Linked DNA regions of Rhinolophus ferrumequinum. The protein of the gene in region 1 binds, or shares a complex with, the protein of each later gene. Links are inferred from orthologs where the notes say so. Each region holds a gene or a part of one and is shown on either strand. Other genes may lie near its edges. The genes, in order: SNRNP40, CRNKL1, LSM3 and LSM4.

Evidence for each region.
Region 2: SNRNP40 (region 1) and CRNKL1 share a complex: the UniProt entries of both Homo sapiens proteins name them as parts of the minor spliceosome. The link is inferred for Rhinolophus ferrumequinum from reciprocal best matches to the Homo sapiens genes SNRNP40 and CRNKL1.
Region 3: SNRNP40 (region 1) and LSM3 share a complex: the UniProt entries of both Homo sapiens proteins name them as parts of the U4/U6-U5 tri-snRNP complex. The link is inferred for Rhinolophus ferrumequinum from reciprocal best matches to the Homo sapiens genes SNRNP40 and LSM3.
Region 4: SNRNP40 (region 1) and LSM4 share a complex: the UniProt entries of both Homo sapiens proteins name them as parts of the U4/U6-U5 tri-snRNP complex. The link is inferred for Rhinolophus ferrumequinum from reciprocal best matches to the Homo sapiens genes SNRNP40 and LSM4.

What each region holds. Positions count from the first base shown.
Region 1 is NC_046292.1:21,444,258-21,451,281, forward strand, and holds the start of SNRNP40 (U5 small nuclear ribonucleoprotein 40 kDa protein), read right to left. Parts: upstream 3,002-7,024; 5' UTR 2,953-3,001; coding exon 2,809-2,952; intron 602-2,808; coding exon 472-601; intron 1-471. UniProt on the Homo sapiens protein: Required for pre-mRNA splicing as component of the activated spliceosome. Component of the U5 small nuclear ribonucleoprotein (snRNP) complex and the U4/U6-U5 tri-snRNP complex, building blocks of the spliceosome.
Region 2 is NC_046306.1:40,159,944-40,167,012, forward strand, and holds the start of CRNKL1 (crooked neck-like protein 1), read right to left. Parts: upstream 3,012-7,069; 5' UTR 2,903-3,011; coding exon 2,852-2,902; intron 1,138-2,851; coding exon 985-1,137; intron 38-984; coding exon 1-37. Other genes in the region: CFAP61 (cilia- and flagella-associated protein 61), read left to right, coding at 6,794-6,936. UniProt on the Homo sapiens protein: Involved in pre-mRNA splicing process. As a component of the minor spliceosome, involved in the splicing of U12-type introns in pre-mRNAs.
Region 3 is NC_046300.1:40,459,383-40,466,970, reverse strand, and holds the start of LSM3 (U6 snRNA-associated Sm-like protein LSm3), read right to left. Parts: upstream 3,009-7,588; 5' UTR 2,913-3,008; coding exon 2,892-2,912; intron 1,123-2,891; coding exon 1,012-1,122; intron 1-1,011. Other genes in the region: XPC (DNA repair protein complementing XP-C cells), read left to right, coding at 3,205-3,307. UniProt on the Homo sapiens protein: Plays a role in pre-mRNA splicing as component of the U4/U6-U5 tri-snRNP complex that is involved in spliceosome assembly, and as component of the precatalytic spliceosome (spliceosome B complex).
Region 4 is NC_046301.1:51,124,266-51,132,172, forward strand, and holds the start of LSM4 (U6 snRNA-associated Sm-like protein LSm4), read right to left. Parts: upstream 3,023-7,907; 5' UTR 2,877-3,022; coding exon 2,874-2,876; intron 1-2,873. UniProt on the Homo sapiens protein: Plays a role in pre-mRNA splicing as component of the U4/U6-U5 tri-snRNP complex that is involved in spliceosome assembly, and as component of the precatalytic spliceosome (spliceosome B complex).

The DNA.
Region 1 (7,024 bases):
GCTAAGCACCTGGCAGCAGATCCTAATGATGTACCGGTAGGTTATCCAAGTTGAACTGCCACTTTAGGATTTTCTCCTTCCTTCCCATATGCTAAGATTCTGAGTGGATCAAGAAGACAGCCTCCCACCTTCGGGGAAAGGAAGTTATCTCTCTCCTCAATACTCCCATTAGCCAGTTAAGCCTAGATTTCTTATTTTGCTAAATCAGCTCCAGATTTGCCTCCATGAGGAAGATATTCTCAAAGGAGAGCCACTCACTTCCCAACTAATAACATAACTCCTATATTTACCACACAGACCCTGAGTTTTACAACCAAACTCAGTCAGCATTTTTACAACCCTATTTTAGCGTGCTAGCCACCAGCTTATGTGACCAACTCAGACTGACACCTTCTGTGGCACCAAAGGTTTTAAAAAATAACCGCTATTTGGCAGACAGCGATTATTCAAGATTCAAAAACTATGTCTTACATATCAGTCGGTCAAATCCTGCAGATGCTAAGGTGGATCCATTGGGGTGAAACTTGCAGCAGTATACTTCCCCTTCATGTCCTGAGAGAAGCATGATTGGAGCTTGAAGGGAAGAACATCTTGGAGGCCCCTAAGCAAAAAAGAGACATACAGGGTAGTCACTGCATCGAGGCAAAGGAGGCCGCAAAATTGGGGAGTGGGGGGTGGTGGTGGTGGTGGAGGGAAGACAAGGGAAATGAGTGAGTGGATTTCTCCTGATTTAGAGAACTATAACTCTTCTCACGTAACTTATGCCTCCCATATGATATTTTCCTGCTGAAGTGTCCAGTGTCTGCCTGTTACATTAACTTTCCGCCTCCCTCACTTTGCTCCTGTCCCATAGCCAAGTTTCAATTGCTTATTCATGTTAAACTCATTTCTGTCTCAGGGTCTTTACACTCGTTGTTGCCCTTGACAGGAATCCTCTTCCCCGAGAGCTTCCTGCATTTGGCGGCTTTCAAATGTTTCCTGTTCAGAGAGTCTTTCCTTGATCACTCAAACTCTATCAGTACCCCACCTCTACTCTGTGTTCCACTAACACTCACAAAGCTTACCATTACCTGAAATTACCCTCCTTCTGTATTTGTTTACATATTTTCTTTTCCCCCACTAGAAAAGCTCTGTGAATGCAGGGATCCTGCCTGTGTCATTCACCAGTTTTCCCAAGTTCTAGCTCATTTAGTGAATGAACGATTGAACTGAGCTTCCCAACATCCTTCAGCGTATAGCTTATTGTAGAAAGCCCTTTTGATTATGGTGTTAACACTAAGGCTAAGCTTGGGCAATACACTGACACCTGGGCTGGTATTTTTACTTGTCAGATAAACAACTACATTTCAAAACCCCCCAACTTGTCAGTAGTTTCCAGCTTACTCTTTATTAAAAAAACACAATGTGCCAGGCACTATCCTAGACACTGGGAAAACAGTATTGATCAAAAGAAACAATCGAGTTTGTGTTCTAGTTAGGGAAGCAGAAAGAGAAGGAGGGAGAGAGAGAGAAAACAAGTAAAACATATAGGTGGTGGTATATGTTATGAACAAAAACAACAGGCAGCAATCTGGGTTAGTGAGTACGGGATGCTGCAATTTAAAATAGGGTAGTCAGTAAAGCCCTCGCTAAAAAAGTGATATTTGAATGAAGATTTGGAGGAGCTAAGTGTGTAAACCATGCGGACATCTGGAAGAAGAGCATTCCAGTAGAGAGAACAGCAAATGCAATGGTTTTGAGGCAGGAACACAGAAGCCAGTGTGATTGGAGCAAGGGTGAGCAATGGAAAATTGGTAGATCAAAAAGGCAAAGGGGGCAAAAGATTTTAAAGATTTTGGTTTTACACTAAGTGAAGTGGAAAGCCACCAAAAGTTTTCAGCAGAGGGTAACATAGTTTGACATTTAGAAGGATTCCTCTGACTGCTGGATTGAGAATAGGTTGACCATACAAGAGCAGAAAACAAGAATACAAGTTAGGACCCTATTTGCTGTCATGCCAGGTGAGATAATAATGGCTTAGATCAGGAGTCAGTGATGGAGGTGGTAGAAGTGGTAGCAATTCTGGATATATTTTGAGGATGCCAGCAGAAATTTGCTGACCCACTATTTGAAGCGTTGAGAGAGAAGATACTTATTTCTTTATCTGAGTCTAATAGCACAGGAGAGGTGTGACACTACGTCTATCTCACAAGAAATGTAGTAAAGAGCATGGGTTATAATTTAAAATCTTTTACTACATTGTTTTTCCATCTACAAATGGGATAACAGTTCCTAACTCTTAGGCCAAGAGTAATGGAGTTTTCATTAAAAAAGTACTTAGTACAAGGTCTCAATGAATGTTGACTGTTCTTAGGCTGTTAATAGTGCAGAGAAATAAAGGGAAAAGCAACTTGCTCAAAGTTCCAAAGCGAGCCAGTATCATTCATGTCCTTCCTTCACTCATTCATTCATTATTTCATTCACCCATCCACTCTACAAACTTTTATGAATGCTTGTTTACTCGAAGCAGAATCTCTGGAAGATTTAGGATGCAAAAACCCCAGTCCCGATTTTGAGCTCAAGATCCTTAACTTGAATTCTAACGCCACCTCACAGGATGGTCGAGACACTGAAAACAGTGTAACGTATGGAGCATTCACAGGGTGTCCGCCGCTTTTACAGTTTTTCTGCTTTAACTCCAGGTAGAAATCCTCGTTCCGCCCCGCAGTGCGGAGGAGAGGGCAGGTGCGGGATCACCCGATCCCGATGCTGGAGAAAGGAGCGAGGAAGATGAGCTGAGGGCCGACGGCCGCCTGCTACTTCACTCACCGCTTGCAGCAAAGCTCCGGGCGCCGCCTGCTGCTGACCCGCTCCGGGGCCCGACCCCGCTGCTCCCAACAGCAACTCATGCCGCTGCCGCTTGACTGGAACCAGCGGCAACTCTGGGCCCTTGCGCTTCTGTTGTTCTATCATGGCGGCACCCACTATCCCCAGCCCCGCCGCAGACCGCGCCGACAAGCTCAGACACCGCACGATTGGTTCGGACTTAGTCTTTCCCTTAGAACTTCCGGCTTGGAGAAGCCAATTGGCTTCCAATATTCCCCTCTGCACCGCCCTCTGGATAGTCTCTTGTTATTGGTCAGTTCTTTCTGATGTCATGGGATTACGATTCTGGGATTGGCGAATGGAGCTGGAGTCCCGCCTGGGCGCGCTGTGTCTTGTGGGTGGAAGCGCGCTGACTGGGTTTTGGCGTTTCGCGCAATGCTGCGGTCGGGAGACCTGCAGCTGACGCTGGGTAAGTGTATAAGGGGTATGTGAGGTGGGTAGCTGCGGCATCTGGAGGCGGTGCCTGGGTTGTGTGGTCGGAACCTGGCATTTCTCAAATGAAGGTTTGATTGCTAGGGGGAGAGGCAGGCTCAGAGATCCTATCCGGTTTGTAGCCCCTGGGTTCCCTTTCTAGACTGGAGCCGAGCTGTGGGGTCTCTGCGGTTGCCTGAGGCCCTCGACGGCTGACTTCATCAAGCGCCTACTCCGTCCAGCCCTGTGCCAGGCGCTCCCAGGGAGAAGAGGCCTGTACCCAGCCTCCCCTAGGGTCCTGTCTGACTGAGGAGGCTGCCTGGTTTCTGCCACTGATTCTGCAGCGTTTTGCTAGGGTCTGCTCTGTGCCCCTGCGAGAGACAGATGAAGGAGATGTCTGACTCCTGCCTCTCCAGAGCCCGGTCTTGTTGAGAAATTTCGACTCATACCCTTCTTAATCGCCCAACTGATAATTATTGTGCAAAGCGTTGAGAATACATTGGGAACCAGACATGGCCCCTGACCTCAGGGGTTTGAGGCCAATGGGGAAAACATGTTAAACAACAATCTCACCAAGAAATGTACAAATTAAGTGCGACCTAGGAGAGGTGCACACTGGATCGGATGATGTTATGAGTGCCTGAAATAATCAGGGAGGCTTCTCTGAGGAAAAGATGCCTGAATTGATACCTAAGGAAGACTTCTAATTAATGAGGTGAAGAGAGGAAGGCAGAATATTCCCTATAGAACAGCATGGGCAGAGGCCCTGCGACAAATGGAAAGAAAATGACTAAAAAGCATAGAGGCCAGTGTGACCGATCCAAAGAGAATGAAGGGGAGTATGGTACAAGATGACGCTGGAGACAGGTAGCGGTCAGGTCTTTCAGGACTTTGTAGCTTTTGCTATAAAACTGATGGGAAACCACTGCGGGTTTTTCTGTTTTTGATGGACAGTGGGTGGTGTGATGGGGGAGGGGCCTTGATCCCTCAGGCTCAGTAGTGTGAACAGATGGAAGAGAGAGAGATGCAGACAGACCACTTAGGTGAGAGTTGTTGGCAATGAGGAGTGACGTATTGGAACTGCAAAGCATTGGACAGTTTCTAGAGGTATATAAGAAGTAAAATCAGTAGAACTTGGTGACGGATTGACTCGGAGTGAAAGAGGACTCAAATGTAACTTCTAGGTTTCTGGCTTCTTCAACTGGATAGTTTTGTTTGTTGTTATTGTTTTGGCAGGGGAAGGGAGAGTTTGTTCACCACATCCTGGAGGCAGTTTGAAATACGGCTTTGGAACTCAGAAGAGAGACTTTTGTTGGAAATACAAATTTGGGAGTAATTTGCCTATAGGTGATAATTGAGCCACAGGTGTGGGTAAGATCACCCAAGCTAGAACCTTGAGTAGTTCTAACATTTCATGGCCAAGAACAGGAGCATGAACCTACGAGAGAGAGAGAAGAAAGAGCTAAGGAGGAGGATCAGAGATGGATGCTGTCTCCGAAGCAAAGAAGTGGTCTGTGTCAGAAACTCCTGAAATTGAAATAACATGAGAATTGAAAAAAATATGTTGGCTCTATCATCATGGAGCTCATGGTATCCTTAGGAAGAGTTATTTTGTTGGTGTGATGGGGCCAGAAGCCAGATATGAGGCAAAGATGTAGGCAAGGACGTGGAGGCAGTGAATCTGTGAATCTAGAGAGTATTTTTCATACATATGATTATAAAGGAGAGGAGAGGATACGGAAGCGGAAGAAGATGAGGGGTCACCAAGGATTGAATTGAGAGAGTGATGGAGAAACTGAATATGCAAGAGAGAAATTGGTTCACGGGTCGTGTTCTGAGAACATAGGAATGGATGGGATCCCAAGGACAGTTAACGGGAGTAGCCTTAGGAAGAGAAATAGTTTCTCCATGTAACAGAAAGAAACAAGGAAATGTAGGCAATAGATACAGGTTATTTGTATGTTTGGTATTGGTAAAATGAGTTCTTTTCTCATAGCTTTTATTTTCTCAGTAAAGGAAGAGGGAATTACATACTTCGAGTGGGATGAGGTCAGGCATTTGAGAAGACTGCAGATTTGGAAATCATTGTAGAATGTGAGAGAATGCATTTACCAGAGAAATCAGGGATTGTCTTTCAGCATTAAGGACCCATTTTAAGTTAGAGATCATAATTTTTTAACAGCACTATCAGGCTATTTCATGCAGGCATGGAAAAAAACATCCAAGTATGGCAGGGACTGTGGATTTGGTTTGCTTAACACACATGCCCATCTCTAATGTGCCTTCTCTTGCTGAAAAGTCTGGGACACTAGAAATGATCTGGACTCCTTTGCACCTAAAATGAGAATTGAATGTGAAAACTAGTTAAATATGGAGAGGAGAGTGGCATCCAGTTTTGCTGGCAAATATAGCAGAGACAGTGAGTTTCTCTAGTCAACAGCTTTCCGGTTTAGTGACATTCTGCAATGATAGCCATGACTTTCTTGATTGTGGCAAAGACTGTTATTTGGGGGATTAGGAGTTGTTTCTGGAAGTTCTACCAGCGCCTGCCCCTGTGGCCCTTCCAGTAATTTTGTAAGCCACATAATACCTGGCTGTAAATCCCTTTCTCCTTAACCTAGCTAAAATGGATTCTGATGTTTGCAATTCTACTCCACCAGCGTAAGTGTTTTGCCATATAGGCAAACTGTAAAGACAGTTAAAGGAATGTCACAGTATTGTTTGAATGATGGAGTGTGGAATCTAAGCTGGATAGGGAGGAAAGTGAAGAAAAAGGAGAGGGCTGATAGATTGGAAGAAAACAGACGACACTAGATGAGGGTTCTAATGAGGTCAAATAACAATAGTCTCTGCTAAGAGGACTCCCACTTATTCTTCAAGGACTGCTCAGTTGTCACCTTGTAAACGTCCCGGCTTCACCCCAGGCCCTTCTTCTCTTTCTTGTTTTCTTAGTATTTGGAACTTAGCCACTATTTTAGCACTGATCATACCGTGTTGTAATTGGTCACCATTATTCCTACCAGATTAGGAAGTCTGAGTACAGGGATTGTGTTGAAAAGGATGGTTTATAGGCAAGTGTATATAGCCCTTGGAATGGCCTAAAATTTGTCTCTTTCTAGCTGTGAGTTTTGGACAAGTTACTTCATCCCTGTAATTCAGGGACACCCTACTTTGTGGAGTTGTTTTTAGGATTGAAAGTAGGTTTATGAAGTGCTTATTAGCATGGGGCCTGACATATAACCGTCAGTAAATGTGCTGAATTGATGAATTAACTAACAATGTAAAATAGGGTAAAATTCAGTGCTTCAGTATTTCCGTAAACAGTTACGAATTTCTGTGTGCTTTACACTGCTAAGCACTGGAGATTTGAAGAATATGCTGCCAAGACAAGGGCATGCTCAGAAGATTTCATAATCTAGAAAGGGAAGAAAAAAATGTTTGTAAATTGGATTTGAATCTCATCTGCATCATTCATAGTTTTGTAATTATGAGTAAGTTACTTAGCCTTGCTTATGTCTTAGTTTCTTCATCTGTAAAATGGCAATAATAATTGCCTCTCTCATAGGGTGGTCAAAACGGGAATTAGTTAAGACAAATAAAGCTCTTAGGTTAATACATGGCCTATGGGAAGTACTCGAATATTGGCCATTATTATTAGAGGACTTGGAAGGGGCCTTCAGGGTTAGTGACTGAAAGAATAGGATGGCGTGGAAGAGTAAGTACTGGTCTTGGGGTCTAGTACCAGCCT
Region 2 (7,069 bases), on another chromosome or scaffold:
TCACAGTCCTGTTTTTTCTTATGTTATCTTCAAAAGTCTGGTGGAAATCAAAACAGTCAAATTAAAGAGAAAATAACTAAAAATGACATCATCCTTTGTCTATTAATCCTTGTACTAAAAAGGTTACTCATTCTGTTCTTATTTAAGAGAAATTACACCCTGGAATCCTTAAGAAATAAGAAATCCACTACAGAAGGCTACAATCACAAGTGTTTCTTTAAAATCTTACATGCAAACAAGAGGGAAACTTTAGATATAAATATCTAAAAATAGATATAAAAGATTTAGAGAATTATTAGCAGAATTGTTGGTATTTACTTTTATTGCCCATAACAACTAACTGGTACTGTAATATACTCTACTTGTTCCTAGTAAGAAAACATTTTTGACTAAATCTTTTTGGTAATGTCTCATACATAATTCATTGTAATTATGTCATTTCATACATAATTCATTGAAGATAACTAATAAGTAGATATAGCAGGATTAGTGGTTTAAAATAATCACACATTTTAGTGTAAGAAGGTCAACTCAGATCCTCAGTCTTCTCATGGATCTTTCCCATCTTAATTCTTAACAGAGAGGACAGTATAGACAGAATCATTAACACAGTCTTGCTAAGTCCACCCCTCTTCCAGCTGTCAGTTGTTCCACCTGTTTAACTTCCACCCATCTTTGATTCAGCACCAGGAATTATATTTTGGATGGACTTAATTTCTTTATATTCTAAAATAGACAACTCATGGTATATTTCATAAAGTTCAGTAAAATGCAGTTATCTGGTAACCCGAAGTTATATTATTTATGTGGCTAGAAACACTAACCTCTTGTCATCTTATAGTCTCTCTAACCCATGAAGAACTTTTCAAACTCTGACCTATAATTTTTTTTTTACATTAGTTTCCAGTGTACAACATAATGCAATAGTTATAACCTATAAATTCTTAACATTATAACATAATGAAAGACATCACATTGACGGACCTTCCTTTTCCTTAGTTTGTAATCATTTAACTCTTCTTCATCTGTGATCTTCTGTTGAGGTGGAGGTGGAAGAAGCTCAAGTTCTCTTTCTTTAGCTTCTCTTAAGAGCTGTTCGGCAGTTATCTGTACCTCAGCTGGAGCTTTGTTTTTTACCTTTTAAAAAAAGATGTTTCTATTTTTAGGAGATGCCTTTCACACAAGATTTAAGAAACAAACAAAATTTTTTTAGGATGAGAACTTTATATGTATTATTACAAACTGCCCCTTTGTGTGACATGTTCCCATTTCTCTGTGCAACTAAACAGAAAAAAAAATGTCTTCTATTTAATGCATATCTATTACAAAACCACAGGTAAAAGTCTCAAGAAAAAAGGTAGCAAAAATAGCAAATTTTCCCTTTTAACTTAGTAAAATAAAAAACTTTGAGGCTGCCTAGGAAAAAAAGCTCACCAAAGGTTTTGCTTTATAAAGATGTATTCCATATCTTATCAAGCATTACAATCTCTACTCAGAATTAATGACCCAGGTGGATGAATGCATTTGGTTTTTCATGGCATTTTAAGTCAAAGACAATATTCGGTAAGTTCCCCTCATCAGACTATAAGCTTCTTGAGGTCTTAGAGCTGTGCAGTCTAACATGGTAGCCAGGAGCCACATGTGGCGAGTCCAAATTGAGATGGGCTGTAAGTGTAAAACACAGTAGATTTTGAAGACTTAGTATGAGGGAAAGAATAAACTACCTAATTTTTTTGTATTGATTACATGGTGGAATGACAATATCTTTGATAAACTGAGTTATTAAATAAAATATATAATTAAAATTAATGTCCCTTGCTAATGACTTTTTAATGTAGCTATCAGAAAAAAATTACAGGGGCTGCCGGTGGGCTCAGTTGGTTAGAGTTGAGCTCTGAACAATAGGGTTGCCAGTTCGATTCCCACATGGGCCAGTGAGCTGCTCCCTCCATAACTAGATTGAAGGACAATGACTTGGAGCTGATGGGCCCTGGAGAAACACATTGTTCCCCAATATAATTTTTAAAAAAGAGGAAAAAAACCTTAAATTACATATGTGGCTCACATTATATTTCTACTGGACCAATACAATTTTATGGAGTGGAATTACAAGAAATATTATTTAGTGCTACATGTGGAAAGATGATGATAATGCCGGTAGCTCATAGCCGATGAGCATTAAGTACCAGACAGCAGGCTGTGTGCTTTATATGTATTACGTCTGGGAGTCATCTAAATGGACATGGGCAGGAAAAACAGACTGAAAGGAGAGGATCAATAAAGGCGTAGAACAAAGCCTGTTACACATAAAATACTTGGTAAGTATCAGCCACCTATGTCACTCTCCACGGGCTAATTCCTACTCAGCCTTTAAGTCTCAGCTTAAATGTCACTTCCTCAGCAAAGCTGACTCTGGAGACGCCCTCACCCCCCCCCCCCCCATTATTCCGGGGCCCCTTCTACTTGGCTTTAGCAGCATTTGGCAAGGTTGCAGTTTTACACTGCTGTCTCATTGTGTACAGCCCGTCACCCGCATGAGAGTGTGAGCTCCGCCTCGCTTAGCCGACAGCCTGGCTCAGGTATTTTTGCTGAATGAATGACCCCACTCTTACACCCACCCGAATCCCCCAAAAACACCTACCCAGCACGAAGGCCACGCCGCTGCGGGCAATACTCCGGGTGACAAGGGCCTGCGCCCCACCACCGGCTATCCCGTTCCCTCTCTCTCCCCCTCGGCCCGGCACGGGGTGGGCCTGCTCCTCAGACAACACTCTCCGGCCCGGGTACCATGGAGGCTGGTGCGAGCCCCTCTCCCAGGCCCCTTCCCCCAAGCACACTCGCTATCACTTACCTTGGCCACTTTGGGAATTCTCTGCTTCCCGGCCGCGGTAGAGGCCGCCATGGCTGCAGCAGAAGACGTCGGGCGAACCCTGGACCCCAAATATCGAGCCTAAGGGCTCGCCGACGCCCCAAAGCTTTCTGATAACAAGCGGGATTCGGGGCCGGAAGCGGAACTGGCTTGATGACCTTTGACCTCACGCACTCGCCGTGACCGAGGGAGCGCCGTTTCTGTGGTAACTCGCCTGCGCGTCCTCTTTAGAGTCGGGTGTGGAGCGCGGCGTCAGGAGTCTGAGTTTGAGGTGGGTAGAGTCGGCCTGCCCCGCAGGAACGCGAGAACTGGGTCCAGGGAGTTAGGGCGCATCTCCAGGTCAGTCTCCGGGACTGTGATGACCGCGCGAGGTGGGGTGGATCTGCCTAGCCGTGGCGTCCGGCCGAGGGTGTAAGAACCACGCTGTGATCTGGACGCTGGAGGGCGGGGGAAGAGAGGCCGGCCCGAAAACTACTACTGTTCCCTGCGTGCCAGTGGGCGAGCTGCTGAGCTCCTAAGCTGCCCGCGCTGCGTTGCATTCTAGGCCTTGTAGTTTCTGAGGTCCACTGCCCTTCGTTTCTGGACAGCTGTGACCAAATAATTAACTACAGGGTTTATAATTAAAAAAAACCTGAAAGTATTTTAAAGCCAGATAAGACAAAAATAAAAATAAATCAGTAGACTACTAGCAGACCAGCCAGCCTTCTTGTCAGATAAACAGATGTTTAAATTCTCTGAGTGTGCCTTAATTACATAAATTCTCTTGGCCTCAATATCTTGAATTGTAAGGTGATGATAATAATATCTATTTCACCAGGATTAAAGAGAAAATCTATGTAAAGCGCTCAGTAAATGTTAGGTGATATAATTCTTGACCTGCCTTCAAAAACAGAAAAATTAATTATGTGCAAGCAAATGGTTAAGAGAATTAAAAAGAAAAAAACTATTTCTTAGAGAAATTTTATGTTATGCATATTTTACCACAATAAAAAAAGACAGGATTTCAGCCTTGTTTGTAAAGTTATATGTTTTCGCAATGAGAATGCATTCTGCATTGAGAAGGTATAATGAAGAATGCATTATAGTGCATTGCTGTGTAAAAATAATTTTAAAAAATTAAATGTCAAGAAAGAATGACATTAGGGTTAGAATGTGAAATCAACTCATTGCAGCTGCGCTAGGTAAAGCCATCTTAGAAAGGAAATGCTAGCAAGTGATCAAAACTTGACTGCAAATTGATTAAAGGTATATTTGTTTATCTAGGAAAGGAAGTGTCTGTCACAAAGGGGATGGATTGGCCCTGTGGTCATAACAAAATAGAGATGTTTAGGCAAACATCTGTGAAGATGCCACCCAAGCATAGCCTGTCTCTGATTTTTGTGGCCTGGCATCTCTACAGTGGGTGAGGGCCCCTCAGGCTTCAGGGCTGGTGAGCGACTTCTTGAGGTTCACTATTTTGAATCCTGAGAATGTAATGCTCAATAAAATGATTTTAATGGTTGCTGATATGTACTGAGTGAGCACTTAACTATGTCAGACACAGCTTTTAGCATTTTATACATAACTCATTTATAAAACTCTTCGAGGTATATATATTATCTCTAATTTACAGATGAGGAAACTGAGGAACTGAGAGTTTTGGTAATTTGCCCAATGTCACAGCTAATAAGGGATAGAAGGTGGTTGTCATCCCTGGTACTCTGATTCCACATCCTATGCTCTTAACCATGGCCCCATGTAAGCCACCTTCTGAGAGCTGGGCTTTCTGTGTAGCTGGTCCACAGAGATGGCATGGGTGGCTCTGCCACAGCAGGAATGGAAGCTAAACCAGCTTAAATAAATGTTTATTTATATCTGCAGAGTGTGAAGAAGAATTTTGAGCCAATATTTCAAATTTGGGGGATGTTATGTAAACAGCATGCTTTTCTTCCTTTGCAAAATGTGAAGATCTGCCATTCTAAGACCACATTTCCAGAAGGCAACATCTGGCTGGAACGAGACTAGCCTGAGTTCCCCATTTCACTGCAGTCACCTTGATACCAAGGTTGCGAGATTGTGGCCACATAGCTCATGGGAGGTGGAGAAATAATTCCCTTCTACCCTGTTAAGGAGAGGAAGTCAGACTTGTACTTAACCCACATGACTTATTTGTTAACTATCTGGGCTACAGAAACACCTGGACTGCCCCCCATTGACTTTCTCTTTGTAAATTAATAAATTGACATTTTGTACTTGTTCTTTCAGTTTCTGTGAGCTTGGATAATGTAGGGCCATTCCCCAGAGCTGGGTTTGCTTTGAGCATGTTGATGAAACCCGTTTATAAGCCTGCAAAGATGAGGATGGTGTTAATTCACCAAGACAGGGTCCACTGGATGAAATTTCTGGATGCCATCTGCCACCTTTGCGAATCCTCCTGTGTTACCCTGCACTTTACACCCTTAACATCTGAAGGTTTACAACCATTTAAGCTGTAGTTCATCCGAACATCAGTGGACAATGAGGGCAGGGGAACTTCTTATCCATAGAGCCAACCTGCAGGTTACTTACACAGATGGGAGTGGTAAGGGGCTGGGCTGGAAGGAGAAGTCCAAGGTTCTGTTTCTGACCAAACATCTGTCCTGAGACAAGACACTTCACCTTGTGGGCTTCAGTTTCCTCATCTGACAAAGGAGAAACTCAGTTCAGAGATGTCTCAGGCCCCTACGGCACTCAAGTTTTTTGGTACTTTGGCAAAATGAAAATCATGCAAGGATATATCTAAACAACAACAAAAAGCCAAAAGATATATTGTGTTTTGAAAGAAAACTATATATACTGCATGATTCCATGTATATGATGTTCAAAAATTGGCAAAGATCATCTATGGGATAGAAGTCAGAATACAGTTACCTTTTGCAGGAGCGAATTGACTGGGTGGTGCTAAGCGGCATTCTTCCAGGGTGCTGGAAATGTTTCAGATTGTTCTTAGACTCAATATCATGGTGAAAAATTAATTTGCCTGCTTTGAGCTCACTAGCAAGTACATAATAAGGTGTTTTTCCCTAGAAAAAAGGAAAGGAGGGAAATGGAAGGAAGGGAGGGAGAGATGGAGGAAGGGAGGAAGGAAGGAAAGAAAAGAAAAGAGAGAGAGAGGGAGACACACACACACACACACACACACACACACACACACACACTAAGACATTGAGAGAGAGTGAAATCATTTTGTGGCCTACTGTTCCTGTCAACAGCATTCCCCGAAGTGTCTTTCTCGAATATTAGTCTCTCCACTGTCGCTGTCATTAGAGATTCTCCTCAGAAAGGGAGTGAGAAAGGCTGAGTTACACCAAGAAAGCAGGTACTTCTTAGGGAACTTCTCAAAGACTTTATGGACATTACGGCCCCTCAGGAACACCATCATAAGCAGCATTTCCTATGCTTATTTGACCACAGAACGTTTTTTTCCTCAAAATATCTCTTAGGACTGCTGCCCTTCAGGATTCCAGTTTGGGGAACTATTTGGAACGTGGGCAGCAGCTGTCAGTATTTCCCCTGTAACTCTTGACCACATGCCTAGGTGGCTGTTTAAATATAAGAGGACCCCTGAGTCAGTAAACAATTCCTTTCAATGTTTTTTAATTCTATTGTTAGAATACTTGAAAGCAGCTTTATTGGAAACAAAGAATACAGTTGCAGAAACTTCTAGACAAGCCAGTTCTCAGAAGCATCATTCCCCTGGAGAGAAACATGTCAGCTGGTTTGTAGTGTCAGTTGTCATAGCCTACCCCCAGGGGAAAATGTGTGCCACCAGCACTCTAACACCAAGTTCACTTTGATGTATGGAAATTGAATTAATATCCAATTTTGTAAATACTGTAACCAGACTGGCTTGTCATCTCAGATTAACAGTGGGCTTTTTTCTGTCTTTTTGGGACAGGATAGAAAATGTCAATACTCACTTCTCCAAGAGGAAAGGTAGAAGTGGTTCATTGCCGAAGAACAGAATCGCAGGATGTTTATTGTATCAAAAACCTCATTAGACAATTTACCCAGAAGCTGTTTGGACAGCTTAATATCATTTATCTTCTGTAAGTACATAGCTAAGTAAGCTCAAGAATGTTTATCAGTTTTAACACACATCTGGAAGGGACCCCACTCCTTTGTCCTTTACGGGGCTTATGGCAAGGAATGCGCAACAAGAAAATCTGCCCTCCTGAGCAG
Region 3 (7,588 bases), on another chromosome or scaffold:
GGGATATTTAGTATCTACCCACAGAGGGTTGTTATAAAGATCAAAAGAGATGTGTATTACATACAAAACACTTAGACTAGTACCTGACATATAATTAATGCTCAATAAACTTTAATTATTTTTAACCTCTTTAGGGTAGAATGGCAGTAATAAAAACAACACACTCTGGAAAGCAACATGTTATCAAGAAGAGGCAAAACCTTCAATTACTCTTTTTATGAATAAATAGGACTACTTTAAAGGACCAATCCTATAGAAATATTTGCAGATGCACACAAAGAAATATGTATTAAATATGTATTAAAATGCTTACTGCAGTATTATTTATAGTAACAAAAAAATGGAAAACAATCTAAATATCACTATTACCATATAAAGAATTCTATGTAGTAATTAAAAAGAATAGAGAAGATCTATATGCACTCATGATCAATGATTTCCAAGATTCAGTGAAAAAGAAAAGTGCCCAAAAATATGTATAGCAAGATCCCATTTATTTTAGTGGTGGTATAGTGCAAATATATGCATATGGACACGTATTATAAATACATACGTGTAAATATACAGAAAATACCTTAAAAACCATAGACCCAATTTTTAACAGTGGTTACCAGTAGAAGAAATGGGATTTCACCTTTTACGGCATGTATTTCTGTGCTATTTAAGTTTTTTCACAAGAAAATACAAATTATGCATATGTCAGTAATTAAAAAAACACTTAAATAAGAATGGAGAATAAATGTTATCTGCAAATAAATAGAAGGGTAAAATATGAAAGAAATGAAAATGTTCTTTAATAAACACATTATTTCTGGTAAGAGAAAAAAATGTTAAAATATGAATAAAATAGAGTTGTATTTGTGTTATAGAAATATGGGTAGCTGCCACCTTCCTCTCTGCATTCCAAACACTGTTCCACAGTTGAGAGTTTTTACATTTCAAAGGCGTGGGAGTAGGGAGGGAAAACAAGGAAATAACCTGATTTCAAGGTAATTTAATAGATTTACTTACATGTAATCTACCTCGAAGCTCTCTGTCATTTCTCATTTTCACATAAATTCGCTCATCCAGGCTGAGCCTGATGAGATCCAGGGGTTCTTCTACGGTGTTGGTAGTTTGTTGCTGATTAAAAAAACAAGCTTAGTAATATAGTACTAGAGAGAGTGTAGTGTTTGAATCATTGCTACGCTGCATTGACTGTGAGCAAGTAACTTAACCCCTCTATGCTTTCCTTAGTCGTCTATCCAGTAAAATGTGGATAACAGTGCCTACTTAATACCATTGTTGTGAGGCTTAAGTGACATATGTGAAGGCTTAGAACAGTACCTGGCGCATAGTAAGCGCTATATAAACGAGAACTGAAAGAAACATACACAGGAAGGAGTTATACAGCAAAATAATCATGACTATACTTTGTTCCCTCAAAATCCAAGCTGCTTGACACAACTTCAGGACATAGGGAGTCACTCTCAGGGACGTTAGCCTTATCTCAAATATCATTTAGTAATCTGAATAACACTGACTTAATGACTACTACACAAGTCAGAACGCTAAGCAGAGATGAAAATGTGAAGGAAAATGAGTTCAGTACAGGGCACGCTGAGTTTAGGGTGCCGACTGGCCAATAAGATGAGTATACTCAGCAGGCAGTACAGAATACTGGCTGAAAGCACTGGCTTTGGAGTCCTGCAGCGTGCGTTCAAGGGAAAAAGTCCTGTCCTCAACTGGTCCCCAACCTCAGTTCAACAGCTGTTTGTTAAGGACCAGGTAACCAACTACTAGACTACAATGATACAGAAGTCAGCCTCTGCCCTCAAAGCAGCTCATTCTATTTGGGAGAAGCATATAAATCATTACAATACTGTAAGAATATACACGCTGACAGAGGCCTACTGCTCCTTTAGCCTGGGTCCTGAATGCTCTCTGTCTGCTTTTTTCATCCTATTCAGCTTTAAACATTGCCTTTTCAAAGAGGCCTCCCTGATCATCCAATTCATTCCCTCAATACCTAAATATCTGCCGAGTGGTTCCAGCACTGTTCTAAATCCACCCAGGGCAGAATAGTACACAAAACTCCTCGTAAGAAATTCACATTTTAGTTGGGGGACACAGACATTAAACAAAGCAGCATATACTTAATATGAACACATAACATGCTATGAAGAAAAATAAAACAAACTCGGGAGAGTGCTATTTTATGTAGCTGGCCAGAGAAGTCCTCTTTGATGAAGCGAGGCTTCAGTAGAAAGCTTGAGAAGTTGCGGCCTGATCACAACGATATCTGAGGAAGAGCATTTTGGGAAGAAGGAAGAGCAGGTGAGAAAGCCTGTAGGACCAGCAGTTATTCTGTATACCAGTTCCTTGCTCGTTTCCACATCCCAGTTCCTATATATCACACGTATTTATCTGTCCTCCCTCGCAATATAAGCTCCAAGTGGAGACAGGGATCACGTATGTCAATCCCTGTGACTCTGGTGCTTAGAACGGTGTGTAAACCATACAGAGTTGATGTTCACTACATGTTTATTGAATGAGTAATCATTGTTGCGGTCAAGTAATTGTTGCGCGATAATTACCGCGCTTTCTATCAGAATCCCGACAGCTCTGCGAGGCAGGCAGGGACAATTACTGCCATTCTATGGATAAAGGTGAGACTCAAGAGAAAGGAAGTGAGGAGCGGGAGGGGTAACTTAGTTTTCTGGCGGATTTGGAAGTAGAAAAGATCTCAGAGCCTGAGGCAAAATTAAAGGCCGTGACGACCCGGAAAGAGGCGACATGATAGGACACCGTCCCGTGAACTTGAAGAAAGCAGCCGGGTATGCAAAGCCGAACAGGGCCAGGGCGCGGAGTGGGGAAGCCGCTCTGGAGTGAGTTCCTCAGGGGACACTCACCTGGTCCACGTCGTCCGCCATGTTTCAAACCCTGCGCCTTTTCTCGCCTCTCGCGATATCACGCCCCTCCAGTCTCCGGAAACACGAGGACGCAATGCACCGGAAGTAGAAAAAAATTTGTTTTGCGTCTTCTTGCTTCCTGCAGTTTGCATTTGTCACTTGGGACTGGGACGGCGCTTCCTCTGGGGGCGTGTGCTTGGTCCATAAAGGAGGGGCGTGGTCATGCCTCTCCCCGCCTTGGGGTGTAGACCACGCGGGTGCAGCTTCCCGCGGTTTGGTGCGTCACTCGCGAAGCGAGCCCTCCCCGGGGTAGATGGCTCGGAGTCGCGCAGCCGGCAGGGAGCTGCGGGGACGCGAACTGCGCAGCCAGAAGGCCAAGGGCAAGAGCACGGCTGGGCGGCAGGAGAAGGAGGAGGGTGAGAGCGAGGCCGAGCCGTGTTTAGGGAGAGATGCTGAAAGAGATCCGGAAGCAGGCCCGGGTGCGGGGAGTGGGGGAGCCAGCTTCCTGGAGGTGGGGGGCGGAGACTGTTCCGCGCCGGTCTGCGCTGAGAAGACCACTTGACGGTGGCCAAGGGAAGCTGGCGTTTGTGCCGCTGCCCCGGTCCTCCCCGTCGCTGTGCCTTTGTTCTCACTCGAGGAGTGACGCACCCTGAGCGGTTCCCCTGGAGCCCAACTTGACCTGGAGCTCCCCTGCGTCGCCTCTTTCCTGCTCCCTGTGGCCCACAGGATAAAGTCCAACCTCCTGGTAGATGCGAAGGGCTAAACAGGGAAAAGACATTGTACTTGTTTTGTGTCCGTAGAAGAACAGAACGTAGTTTGTGGTGTGCTGACTCCCAGAATAGTATCTTCAGCTAAATCTCACCCCAGAGTTCCAGATTTGGATCCAACCCGACTTCACGTGGATATCGAATAGGCTTCTTATGTTTGTCATGTGCAAAGCAAGACTCTTGATTTTCCCCTTTCAACCTGCCTCTTCCCCACTTTTTCCCATCTCAGTAAATGATCCTTCCCCCACTTGTTTAAACAAACCAACCCCTCCTTTTCCATACACGAGCACATCCGTCCAATCCTTCAGCAAGTCCTGTCAGTTCATCCTCAGAAGTATAGCACATCTCTTCACTTCTCTTTATTTCCAAGGCCACAGCCCCTGCCCAAGCCACCATTACTTGAAACTTGAACGACTGCAGTTACCTTTTTATTGGTCTTCCCTTCCTTCCCCTGCAATAATTCTCCACCCAGCAGCCCAAGTGATCTTTCAAAACCAAAATCAGATCCTTCCATGCTCCTCCTTCAAACCCTCTGTGGTGTCCCATTGCTCGTGGCATAAAATCCAAATCCCTCATCATGGCCTACAAGATCCTACAGGATTTGGCTGTTGCTTCCTCCTTTTTGTCTCCTACCCCTCTTTTGTTTGCCAGATACTCTCCTTATTGGTCTCCTTTCTGTTCCTCACGCATGCCATGTTCTCACATTGAACCTTTGTGTTTGATGTTCTTTCTGCCTAGAATGTTCTTCCATGGTTCTTGGCTGTGGCTGATTCTTCTATTGTGCCCTAAGGTGTCCTTCACCAGGTGCTCTGTATCACAGAGGCCCTCACAGCTTCTGTCACAATCTGTAATGATCTTGTTAATTTCTTTGCTTCCTTTTTAATCACCCATCTTAATAGAATTTAAGCTTCATGAACGCATCTTATTTTTTTTGATGTATCCTCTCGTCTCCCCCCAGCATATACTAAGTGCTCAATAAGTATTTTAAGTAATTGTAAAATACTTGCTGTGGAGGGATTTTGGGGGTTCCTGAAATAATTGGGTAGTAGATTAGACTGGGTAACCAACAGGGCCTCCTATGACACTAGATTCAATGATTCTGTGATTCTGTACATATGACAAGGCAATCATCCATTAGGAAATAGTCAAAAGATAGCAATTTCTAAACTTAAAAGGTGATTTACTTCGCACTAATACTATGAGTTTCATTTAGTTCATTTACTCATTAAAATGACCTTTGAATATTTTTTGAGTATCTGGTTGGTGCTGTACATGAGCTAGGTAACGTGGGAGACAGAGATTTGAAGGAGCTTAGAATATAGTAGTGTTGACATTTACAAAAATTATCCAAGGCAGAGTGTGATATTGTGGGAGAAGGTACAGGGCTTTGTGGCTTCTGAAGAAATAATCAAGTTTGGCTGGAGAGCTTGGGAAATGCTCTCTGGAGGAGCTAGGTTTGATCTGTAACTTTAGGGATGGATAATATTTCAGCAAGAGGCCGTGAAAGGGGGTTAGTATTCTAGTCAGAAGGAATCTATTTTGTCTGAATATGTGGCAATTCAAAAATTAAAAGTTTTAATCTGATGGAAATGCCACCTGCTTGGGTAGCATTCCTTCTAGCTAAACACTTCACCTGGGCACCAGTTTGGTATAGCTCCAGCGCTCAGTTGTTATGTGCACTTGGGTAAATTATCCTGGACAGATAATTGAGCCATTCGAAACTTGATCTGTGAAACATAATCCTACCTTGCAGGGTGGTTGTGATTTTTCAGTGAGATAGTATGTAAAGTTCCTGGCATGGTCCATGTTAGGTAATCAGTTGGGCTAGTTCATATCAGTTCAGGCTAAATGGATGTCAGGATGCACCTAAGCTTCACTCAAACTCTGACAACCAGAGTAATTAAGTTCTCAGGGCAGCTTCCAAGATCTGAAGAGTTAGAATCTTTGTTGTGCTTTGGTGGAGGAACAAATGTAGTTTGAGCTGCGGGTGATACTAATTTGGTGACTTGTTTCTAACAGCGCAACAGTGTAGGTTTTGACATCACCTTAGTGCATGCAATGAAATGATAGTAGTGAACAAGACCGCAAGGTCCCTGCTCTCGTGGTCCTTATAATCTTTGGAGAGAGGTAGGTACATAGAACAGACAATAAATTAAAAATAAATTCACATGGTGATAAGAGCTATGAAGAAAGTAAAACAGATTACTGTAATAAAACTGACACGGAGGTGGGGAAGACGCAGCTAAGAATCAATGATCAGGGAAGGCCTCTGAGGAGGTGACAGTTTGAGCCAGTTACTGAATGTCCTGAAGGCACCATTCATAGGAGGTTCTGGGGGAAAAGAGTTCTCAGCAGAGGGAACAGTACATTTAAAGAGTCTTAGGAGGGAATGAGCTTGGCCAGTTGGCTTGACACAGTGAGTGAGTGAGGGGGCGAGTGGCAGGAATTGAGTTGAGAGAGGTGGGCAGGGCCCTTAGTTTGTATTTTATTTTAAGTGCTATGAGATGCTACTGGCAGGTTTAAGCAGGTGTTCTTATTAAATTTCAGTGGATGGCCAAGCAAACCACAGTAGTAATTCCTGCCCTACTGAAATAACCGCATTGAATTCAGAGCAGCTGGTTAGCCATGTTAGATAGCCCTAGATCTTGGAGAATCCTAGAAAATAGCCTCTAGATTCTCTGGGACAAAAAACACAGCAAAGAATAAAGAAAAAAAAGTCTATATTTCCATCATCCAGAAATAACCACCACTAAACAGTGGTATATTTCCTTCTAGTCTGTGTTCTTGTGTATAGTAGAAAACACTGTAAAAACCACTTTGCATGCTTAGCATTTTATCCTAGATCTTTTTCCTTTGTCTTAAAAGATGACTGAGTTATATTTCATTGTGTGACTGTACTGATTTAATGATTATCTCATGGTTGGACATTCTGATTTTTCTTTTTTTAATTATTTAATTTTTTAGTTACAGTTGACATTCAATATTATTTCGTTAGTTTCAGGTGTACATAATAATGGTTAGACATTTATATAATTTATGCAGTGATCCCCCAGTTAGTCTAGTACCCACCAGGCACTATACATAGTTATTACAATATTGTTGACTATATTCCCTCTGCTGTAGTTTACATCCCCTTGACTATTTCGTAACAACCAATTTGTACTTCTTAATCCTTTCATCCTTTTCACCCATTCCCCCACCCCCCCTTCCACCTGTGAATCATCAGTTGTCAGTAGTTAAGAGTTTATTTCTGTTTTGTTTGTTTATTTTGTTCTTTAGATTGCACAGATAAGTGAGATCATACGTATTTGTCTTCCTCTGTTTGACTTATTTCATTTAGCATTATACCTTCTAGATCCATCCATGTTGTTGCAAATGGTAACATTTTATTCCTTTTTATGGCTGAGTAATATTCCATTGTATATATGTACCACTCTTCTTTATCCAGTTGCCTATTGATGGGCACTTGGGTTGCTTCCATATCTTGGCTATTACTAGTAATGCTGCAGTGAACACAGGGGTGCATATATCTTTTGGAATTAGTGTTTTGGATTTCTTCAGATAAATACCCAGAAGTGGAATTGCTGGGTCATATGGTAGTTCTATTTTTAATTGTTTACGGAACCTCCAAAACCATTTTCCATAGTGGCTGTACCAGTTTGCAATCCCACCAACAGTGTACACAAAGGTTCTCTTTTTTCTGCATCCTCACCAACACTTGTTGGATTTATTGATGATGGCCATTCGGACAGGTGTGAGGTAATACCTCGTTGTGGTTTTCATTTGCATTTCTCTGGTGATTAGTGACATTCAGCATCTTTTCATATGTATTGGCCATCTGTATGATCTGTATGTCTTCTTTAGAGAAATGTCCACTCAGGTCTTCTGCCCATTTTTTAATTGTATTGTTTGTTTGTTTGTTTGTTTGTT
Region 4 (7,907 bases), on another chromosome or scaffold:
TCGCACTACTGTCACAATCCCGGCCAGCTGTTTCTCCACGGGGTGGAACTGGAAAGCCTCTCCAGTGGAGGTCAGAAATGGTCCTCAACACCTACAGGGTGGTTCCCCATGAACGGCTTGTTGGGCGGGGACAGGTCCCATTTCCCACAGGCCTTCCCTGAGAGGTCACCAGGGGAGGTCCAGCGCCGATAGGAAACCAGGCCCAAGCCTGCTTCCTGCACTGGCTTCCTGGAAGGGCAAGATAAGGAGGAAGAAGGGGCCATGTGGAGAAGAGGCAGCTGCTCCAAGGAGGGCGGGTGGGTGGGCAGACTGGGACCCCAACGAGGACCAACCTGCAGCTCCGGCCCTCTCCTTTGGGTACGCCTGTGTGACTCTGCGCCTAGGCTGCACAGGAAAAACTGGAGGCTCAGACCCGCATGCAGGGCCATGCACCCAGGTCGCCTTTTACTGTGGAGAAACTTTGGGCTTTCCTGGGCAGTGGGAATCAAGCCCAAGGTGATGAGACACTCGGGTCCTCCTCCTACATCAACAGAGGGCACAGAGTCAGGCTAGCCCTGGAAGGTGAGAATGAAGATGGACTCAGCGCAGAGAGGTAGAGAGATCGGCCCAAGGACACAGAGCAAGGTCCTGGTAAAGCCGGTGAAAGTAGGCTGATGCTTGTCAGCAGGGGACCACTGATGTCCTTTTATGGCATTCACAATCTCTATGCTAGCGACAGCCTCTCAGGCTACCACCTCATCCCAGCTACTGGCAGCACCGCCCTGGAGGACCCACGGCCTCCTTGGGTCCTGGCAATTCCCTATCCACAAAGCAGCGGACAGGACATCTGAAACGCAGAAGGCAGCAGCACCTGCTCCCACCCCTCCCCTGACTTGCCTGGCACACACTCCCCAGACGGGCTACCAGGCCAGGCCTGACCAGGTCCAGCAAACGGGCCTACGCTGCTCCTCACACACCATGCCCATCCAGTCCTGCCGCCCAACCTTTGTTCCTACACTTCCCTTCCGCAGGCTGGTCGTTCCTCAAATGTCACCTCCTTTGGCCAGGTCCTCATAACCCCATCGAAGGAATGAGGTTTCCACCTGGGCCACCCTCTGCTGTTTCCATTATAGGACGCAGCCAGTCTCTAATTATCTTGTTTACTTGTCTCCCTGGCTAGACTTGAAACACCACGCCTCCTGCTAGACTGGAAAACTCAAAAGGTGTGGACTTTGTCCAGCGCCCAGCATGAGGCCACACACACGAGAGGGACTTGGTAAATATTTGCTGAACAAATACATGAGGGAAACGCACGCACTGCCTAGGGAGGTACATGGGGTGGGTGGGATGCTCGCCCCACCCCACAAAGAAGGAAAGGAGAGGCTGGAGAGGTGGCATCCGGATAGCTCTCCACAGATGCAGCAGCGTGGAGCAGTGGCCATGTCTTGCCTTCTTCTATACTATCATCCCCAAACTGGGCGGGAGACAGAAAAGAGGAAGGGGAGGATCCCCGAAAACTTAAAACTTGGTGGGGAAGAGGAAGAAGACGTGTGAAGGGATCAAGGGAAACAGGAGCGGGCCGGACACCCAGTTCAGGGGAGATGGGATCTTTCCCAAGACCCTGTGGAGTTGGGAAAGTCAGAAAAGCTTCAGGAAACAGGATTCCTTTCTCTGGGCTTTCTCACAAGGTCTGGGGTCTGGTTCTCAGGTCTGGCTCAATCCAGGACTAGACCCAAAGGTTTCCTGACGCTCCCAATTCAGGAAACTGTCAATGATCACACCCACATACACACCGTGACCCCTGCTTCCCGCCCTGCTGTGTGAGCATGCCTTGTCCACTGGTGGGCACGAAGGGTGTGTCATGCCTGGTCCACTGGTGGACACTCTTCGGATTAAAGAAACGAGTCTGTACTTTGCACAGGCTCTGTTCTATACTCTGGGACTCTATCAGGGGTAAACAAAGCTCTGGCCTCCATGGAGCTTAACAAAGCTCCGTCCAGTCGTTCCCTCAGGCCCACTTTGCCCTCCAGCAGAGGGATCCAGCCAGCAGGAGCTAGCAGGAAACCTCACCAACCCCTGGCTCTCAGAAACATGCGGCAACCCTGTCAAAGGGACTCAAGTGCTGACCGGCCAGGCGCAATTCCAGGAGACCCAACTTTGAATCCCTCTGTGGGGGCCTCCATTTCCTTGTCTACACACCGGGGCATGGTCACTCTGGCCTAGATCCAGAACTTCCACGATGTGTGAGCGGTTTGGCCTTGGAGGCTTTCTGTCAGGGCCTCAAGTTTTCCTTCTGTGAACTGGAAGGGGGCAGTTAGTGCACTCCTGGCTCAAAAAGCCCCCTTTCCCACTGGAATGAATGACACGCTGTGTGATCCAAAGAAGCAAACCCCCTCTCTGCGTCTGTTTTCAGCCTGAAAACGACAGTCATAGGGGGTTGTGCTAACATTCTAGGAGCCTTGCAAACCCTGAAATCCCCCAAATTGGCTTAATTTGAGAACTCAGGCGGGCCCCTACTTGCTGGCGCTCCAGCTTTCAAACATGAGATTAGACTGGATAGGACGCGCTCGGGGCCACTTCCCTGCCCGAAAACTCACTCTGCTGCATTCACCGGGCCCCACCTGCTCCGGCCTGTTTCCTCGTTTGCAAAATGGGAAGACTGCAGCTAGGCCGCTATACTGATACCAACTCTAAGTTCCCAGAGACTGGGTGCCTGAGAGAGCCCCCTCCCGCCCTCTTCGGCCTCAGTTTCCCCGCCTCAGGCCGAGGGGCAGGAATCAGGCCCGGATTGCACGCTCGGTCCGCGTAGCCCCTGCCCCAGCGCCCGCCCCAACAGCCTTCAATGGCCGCATCCCCTGCTTCCCGGCGACACCTTGCCATCGTCCTGCCCTCACCATGGTATCGGCGGGGACTGGGCACGCCGGCCACTTCCGACGCCGCCGCCGCTCACGCGCCCGCCAGTAGCCGAACCGCCGCGCGCCACTAGGCTAAACTGGAGTGGCAGCAACGCGAACCAGTCAGCACGGGGCTAAAGGGACTGGCAACTAATCCCCGAGGAGTAGGGCGGGGCCTGCTAAGCACAAGGGGCGGTGCGGGCCGTGTTTCTGCCAAGAATATGGGGAAAGCCGTAAAGTGCCGCAGTGAGTGCTGCAAAAGGGAGGCAGAGCGACGTGCAACGGGGCCGAAAGCCTGTGGGTAAGGGCGCATGCGCAAGTGAAACAGCTCTTCTGGGCTCCACGCTGTGGGCAAAGCTGATTATTTTTTGCAGCTTGCAAATGTAGAAACTGAGGCTTAGTGGTTATTAGGAAGTAACTTCGGGCTCCTACTCTTCTGATTCTCATTATTGTAGTTGATCCCTGTCTAAGGCACGTCTTTTGGTAAATTGGAATCTAGACTATGCTCCTCTGATCCTTAGTTTGCCCTTCTGTAAAATGGATGTAATGATAGTGTCTGCTTTAGAAGGTTGCAGTAAGGATGAGACGATTTAAGCTGTGTGAAAGCACTTCGGACAGCGTCTGGCACATACTAAGCACTTAATGCACAAGCGTGCAATAAATATTTATTGAGCACCTACTATGTGCCTGCTCTTAGAAACACAAGTGTACAAACCTGACAAAGCTGGCCCTCCTCAGGCTTAGGAGCCCTTTGGGGCGACAGACAGTAAACAAAATAAATAGGCATATGTATCAGTTTCCTTGGGCTGCTGTAACAAATTACCTCAAACGGGATGGCTTAAAACAATAGAACTTAATTCAGAAATCTGAAATCGAAATTGTCAGCAGTGTTGGTTCCTATAGAAGGTTCTGAGGAACAATTCAGCCCAGGCCCATAGGCTTTTGCTAGTTGTTGGCAATTCTTGTAGTTCTTTGGCTTGTAGACACATCACTCCAATCTCTGTCTCTGTCTTCACATGGTGTTGTCTGTGTCTGTCTAAATCTTCCTCTGCTTTCTATTATAAGGATACTCCTTTCTCTTAATAGACGCACTCTAAATACAGAATAATGTCATCTCAAGATCCTTAATTACATCTGCGAAGATCTTATTTCAAATAAGGTCATAGTCACAGGTACCGGGACTTAGAACTTACACGTTATGTTAGGACATATCTTTATAACCAGTTACTGTGTGGATTGATCAAATGTGGAACCCAGATAAAGTACAAGGCACCCATTACTCCAGGACCAACAGTTGTCCTTCATGTCTTAGTTTGGGGTCACTCCCTCCCCCAGAAACCAGATCCTGAGATGAGGACTCAAGGGCACAAAGTGTACATAGCGGGTGACTCCTGGAAGCCCCCATTGGGGGTGAAGACCTGACACAGGGAGGGAAGGATCCCTGCAGGGGGCACCAAAGGGTAGGTGGTGCAAAAGGCAACTGGGGGTCTGTCCAGCTGGGGACCTCAGGGAGAAGCATAAGAACTCATGTTTCATCATGGCCCCATCCGTGGTCAGGGCAGCTGGGGCATTTATTCTCTAAGTCCCATCTGTCATCAGCTCAGGGCTGCTCCCAGGGAAGCTGGCAAGGCCTGGGATGTGTGCAGGACGCTGGTAAGTGGCCAACCCAACAGTGATGTGATAATTGGGTTAGAGGGATCAGGATGACCAGCCAAGGCTTGTTTGTCCAGGGTAAAGGCCACTTGATGTAAACAACGGAAATTGGGTACAGGATATGTCCCCTCACTAATATGGTGGTGGAAGTAGGAAGAAAATCTTGTGCTGGTTCACCCCTTTCTGACTTTTCTAGATTTTTCTATGTGCAGAGGCTTTTTCTTTTTGCCCAACTGGCAAACTCCTATTTATCCTTGAAAACTCTGCTTGGGTGACCCCTTGTGGTGGATTCTGGTAACTTCTGTTTTTGTCAGTCCTTTCTACATAGAGATGGCCAATCAGAGTTTTCTGTCCCCCTGACCGTAGTGATTGGTTAAATTGATAGCATGTGACCAACCAGGGCTAATTAGAATCTCCCTTGAGAAGGATACTGAGGGCTGGGAGGGAGAAGAGTGGTTTCCATGGAGGTTGTTAAAAGTGAGATGATGAAATAGTGAGATATTCCTATTTAGTGAAATAGATTTACAAGTGAGAAAGTGTAAGCCCAGTGCCATCAGGATCCAGTATACACAAGAATCCAACATACATAAGAGCTACTCAGTGGACAGGGATGCATGGTTTGAACCCCTGGATCCAGCTATACCTGAAACCATTAGATCTGACTTTCCACTTATATGAGTCCAAGAAGTTGTCCTTTGTTGCTTAATCCACTTAGAGTTTGGACTCTGTCTCTGGCAGGTGTCATAACCTGCACTAACGCATAGCTACTCCATGAACTCTTCAATGGCTGACCCCCCAAATCAAATCATTCCCTCTCTTATACTTTGAACTTCAGTACCTTGCACTGATTTTCATCATTACCCAATTTGTGCCACATTGTAATTGCTCATTTGCACACTTAGGCCTTCTGGATTCTGACATGTAGGAGCTAAAAACATGAGAGGTTGTATGGGCCACTATTTGAGGCAGTTTGAGCATATTTCCTCCTCCCCCCTCATCATGGACACATGACCCAGGCTTAACCAATCAGAAGGCTTCCCTGGGATGATGCTGGAATTGCAGAGCTGGGGTAATGTTTGTCAGGTACAGAAATGGCCATCTCTCCACCTCCGAGTCTTGGCCCTGTTTAATCCTGGATCCAGTTGTATCCGATGCTTCATAAATCCTATCTTTACCTATCCCTTGTACTAATACTATTTTTTAAATTCCAGTTTCAATTGTGTTTCTGACAGCAGAAATGTAAAGAATGAGGACTAATGTACCTATCACACTCAAAAAACTACCCTACCCTTCACTAAAAAAAAAGAAAATAGGGCAAGGTTGTAGTGAAACCAGTTAATATATATTTCCTTTTAAGTGGGGGAAAAATTGGCATTATGTCTCAAAGCCCATAAAATTGTCCTGCCCTTTTCTGAACATTTATACTGAGGTCTTGCAAATGAAGGGAACCACTCTGCCGAGGTCTTGCAGCAATGTTGCCAATTCTAAAATAGCAGAAAGAACATAAAGGTCTGACAGCGGTGAACTGGTTGAGTAAAACATGGTTCATCCACTAGACAGAATATTTTTCATTCATTAAAAATTATATGTAGGGGCGGCCGGTTAGCTCAGTTGGTTAGAGCGCGGTGCTCATAACACCAAGGTTGCCAGTTTGATCCCCGCAAGGGCCGCTGTGAGCTGCACCCTCCACAACGAGATTAAAACAACTACCTGACTTGGAGCTGATGGGTCCTGGACAACACACTTTAAAAAAGAATTATATGTAAATCCTCCCCCCAAAACCCCCAAAGATGGACTCAGTGACTCACTTCTAAAGAATAGAGAAAGAGGAAAAAAGTAACTTGATAGAGACTTAAATGGTAGAGAGACCTGGCAGATACCACATGTAGTGAGTCGAGGGTGACCCCCTAAAGATATGTCCAAGTACTAACCCCCAGAACCTGTGAATGTGACCTTATTTGGAAAAAGAGTCCTTTCAGATGTAATTAAGTTAAGGACCATGAGAAGAGATGTCTGGGATTTAGGATAGAGCCAAAATCCAATGACTGGTGTCCTTCTAAGAGAAAGGCAGAGGGAGATTTGAGACACAGAGAAGACAGAAGCAGAGATTGGAGTGATACAGCCACTCGCTAAGGAACACCAGGCGCCCCCAGAAGCTGGAAGAGACCATGAAAGATCCTCCCCTAGAGTCCCCAGAGGGAACGTGGCCCTGCTGACACTTGATTTTGGACTTCTTCCCTCCTGAACTTGAAGAGAATCCATTTATGTTGTTTCAAGCCACCAAGTTTGTGGTCATTTGTTATGGCAGCCCCAGGATTCATCACCTGAACCAAGTGATCCAGATTTTATCTTGGTGATAAGTCGTGGCTATCAGGGATCCCTGCCTGATAATATGAGATGAGAAGGGCATCTCACCTCTGTGGTCTTCCCCAAACACCCATAACCCCATTCTAATCATGGCAGGAATATCAGACAGACCAGCATGGAGGGCATTCTGCAGAACGCCTGGCCAGCTCTCTCCAAGACTAAGATCATGAACAAGGAAAGACCTAAGAGCCATCCCAGACAAAAGAGGACTGGGGAGACGTGATGACTACATGTAACTCGGGATTCCTTCTACAGAGTCTACGAACAGGGAGAGGACATGAGTGGAAGAACTGGTGACATCCAGACAACATCAGGAGGTTGGTTAAAAACAATGTACCCAGGTCAATTTCTTGTACAAATGCATCTGATAAGATCTTCTTATTCCGGGAAGCTGGGTAAGGGGCATAGGGGAGTTTCTGTACTGTCTTTGCAAGTTTTCTGTAGATCTGAACTTATTCCAATATAAAAAGCTTGCAGCACTATTTAATCCCCATTTTACAGTTGAGGAAACAGAGGCTTGGAATGGGAAAATAACTCATCTAAGAGTACGCACCATGTGATGAGCCAGGCAGAATTTGAACTCAGGCCAGCTGGCTCTAAACACCATACTTGCCGCCCTCCATTCTCTCACTAAGAAAATTCATAAAAAATTTAAAAGGAACAGTTCTTTACATATGAAATGTCTTGGTTTCAAAACTCTGGGAAAGCAGCGGTGGTACCTGAGTCCATTACATTGTTTTAATGTCAATTTCCTGGTTTTGACAGTGGTTAGTTAGTAAGATAGACCATTTCGCTGGGGGAAGCAGAGTTAAGGGTTCAGGGAAACTGTACTACTTTTTTGCAACTTTGTGTCAGTCTTAAACTATTTCCAAAAAAAGTTACAAAAGTTGAGTGGCCAAAAGAACTGCAAGCATGGTCTCTAAAAGATATTAGCACATCAATGCTCATAGCAGCATTATTCACAATAGCCAAAAGGTGGAAGCAACCCAATTGCCCACTGATGGATGGATGGAT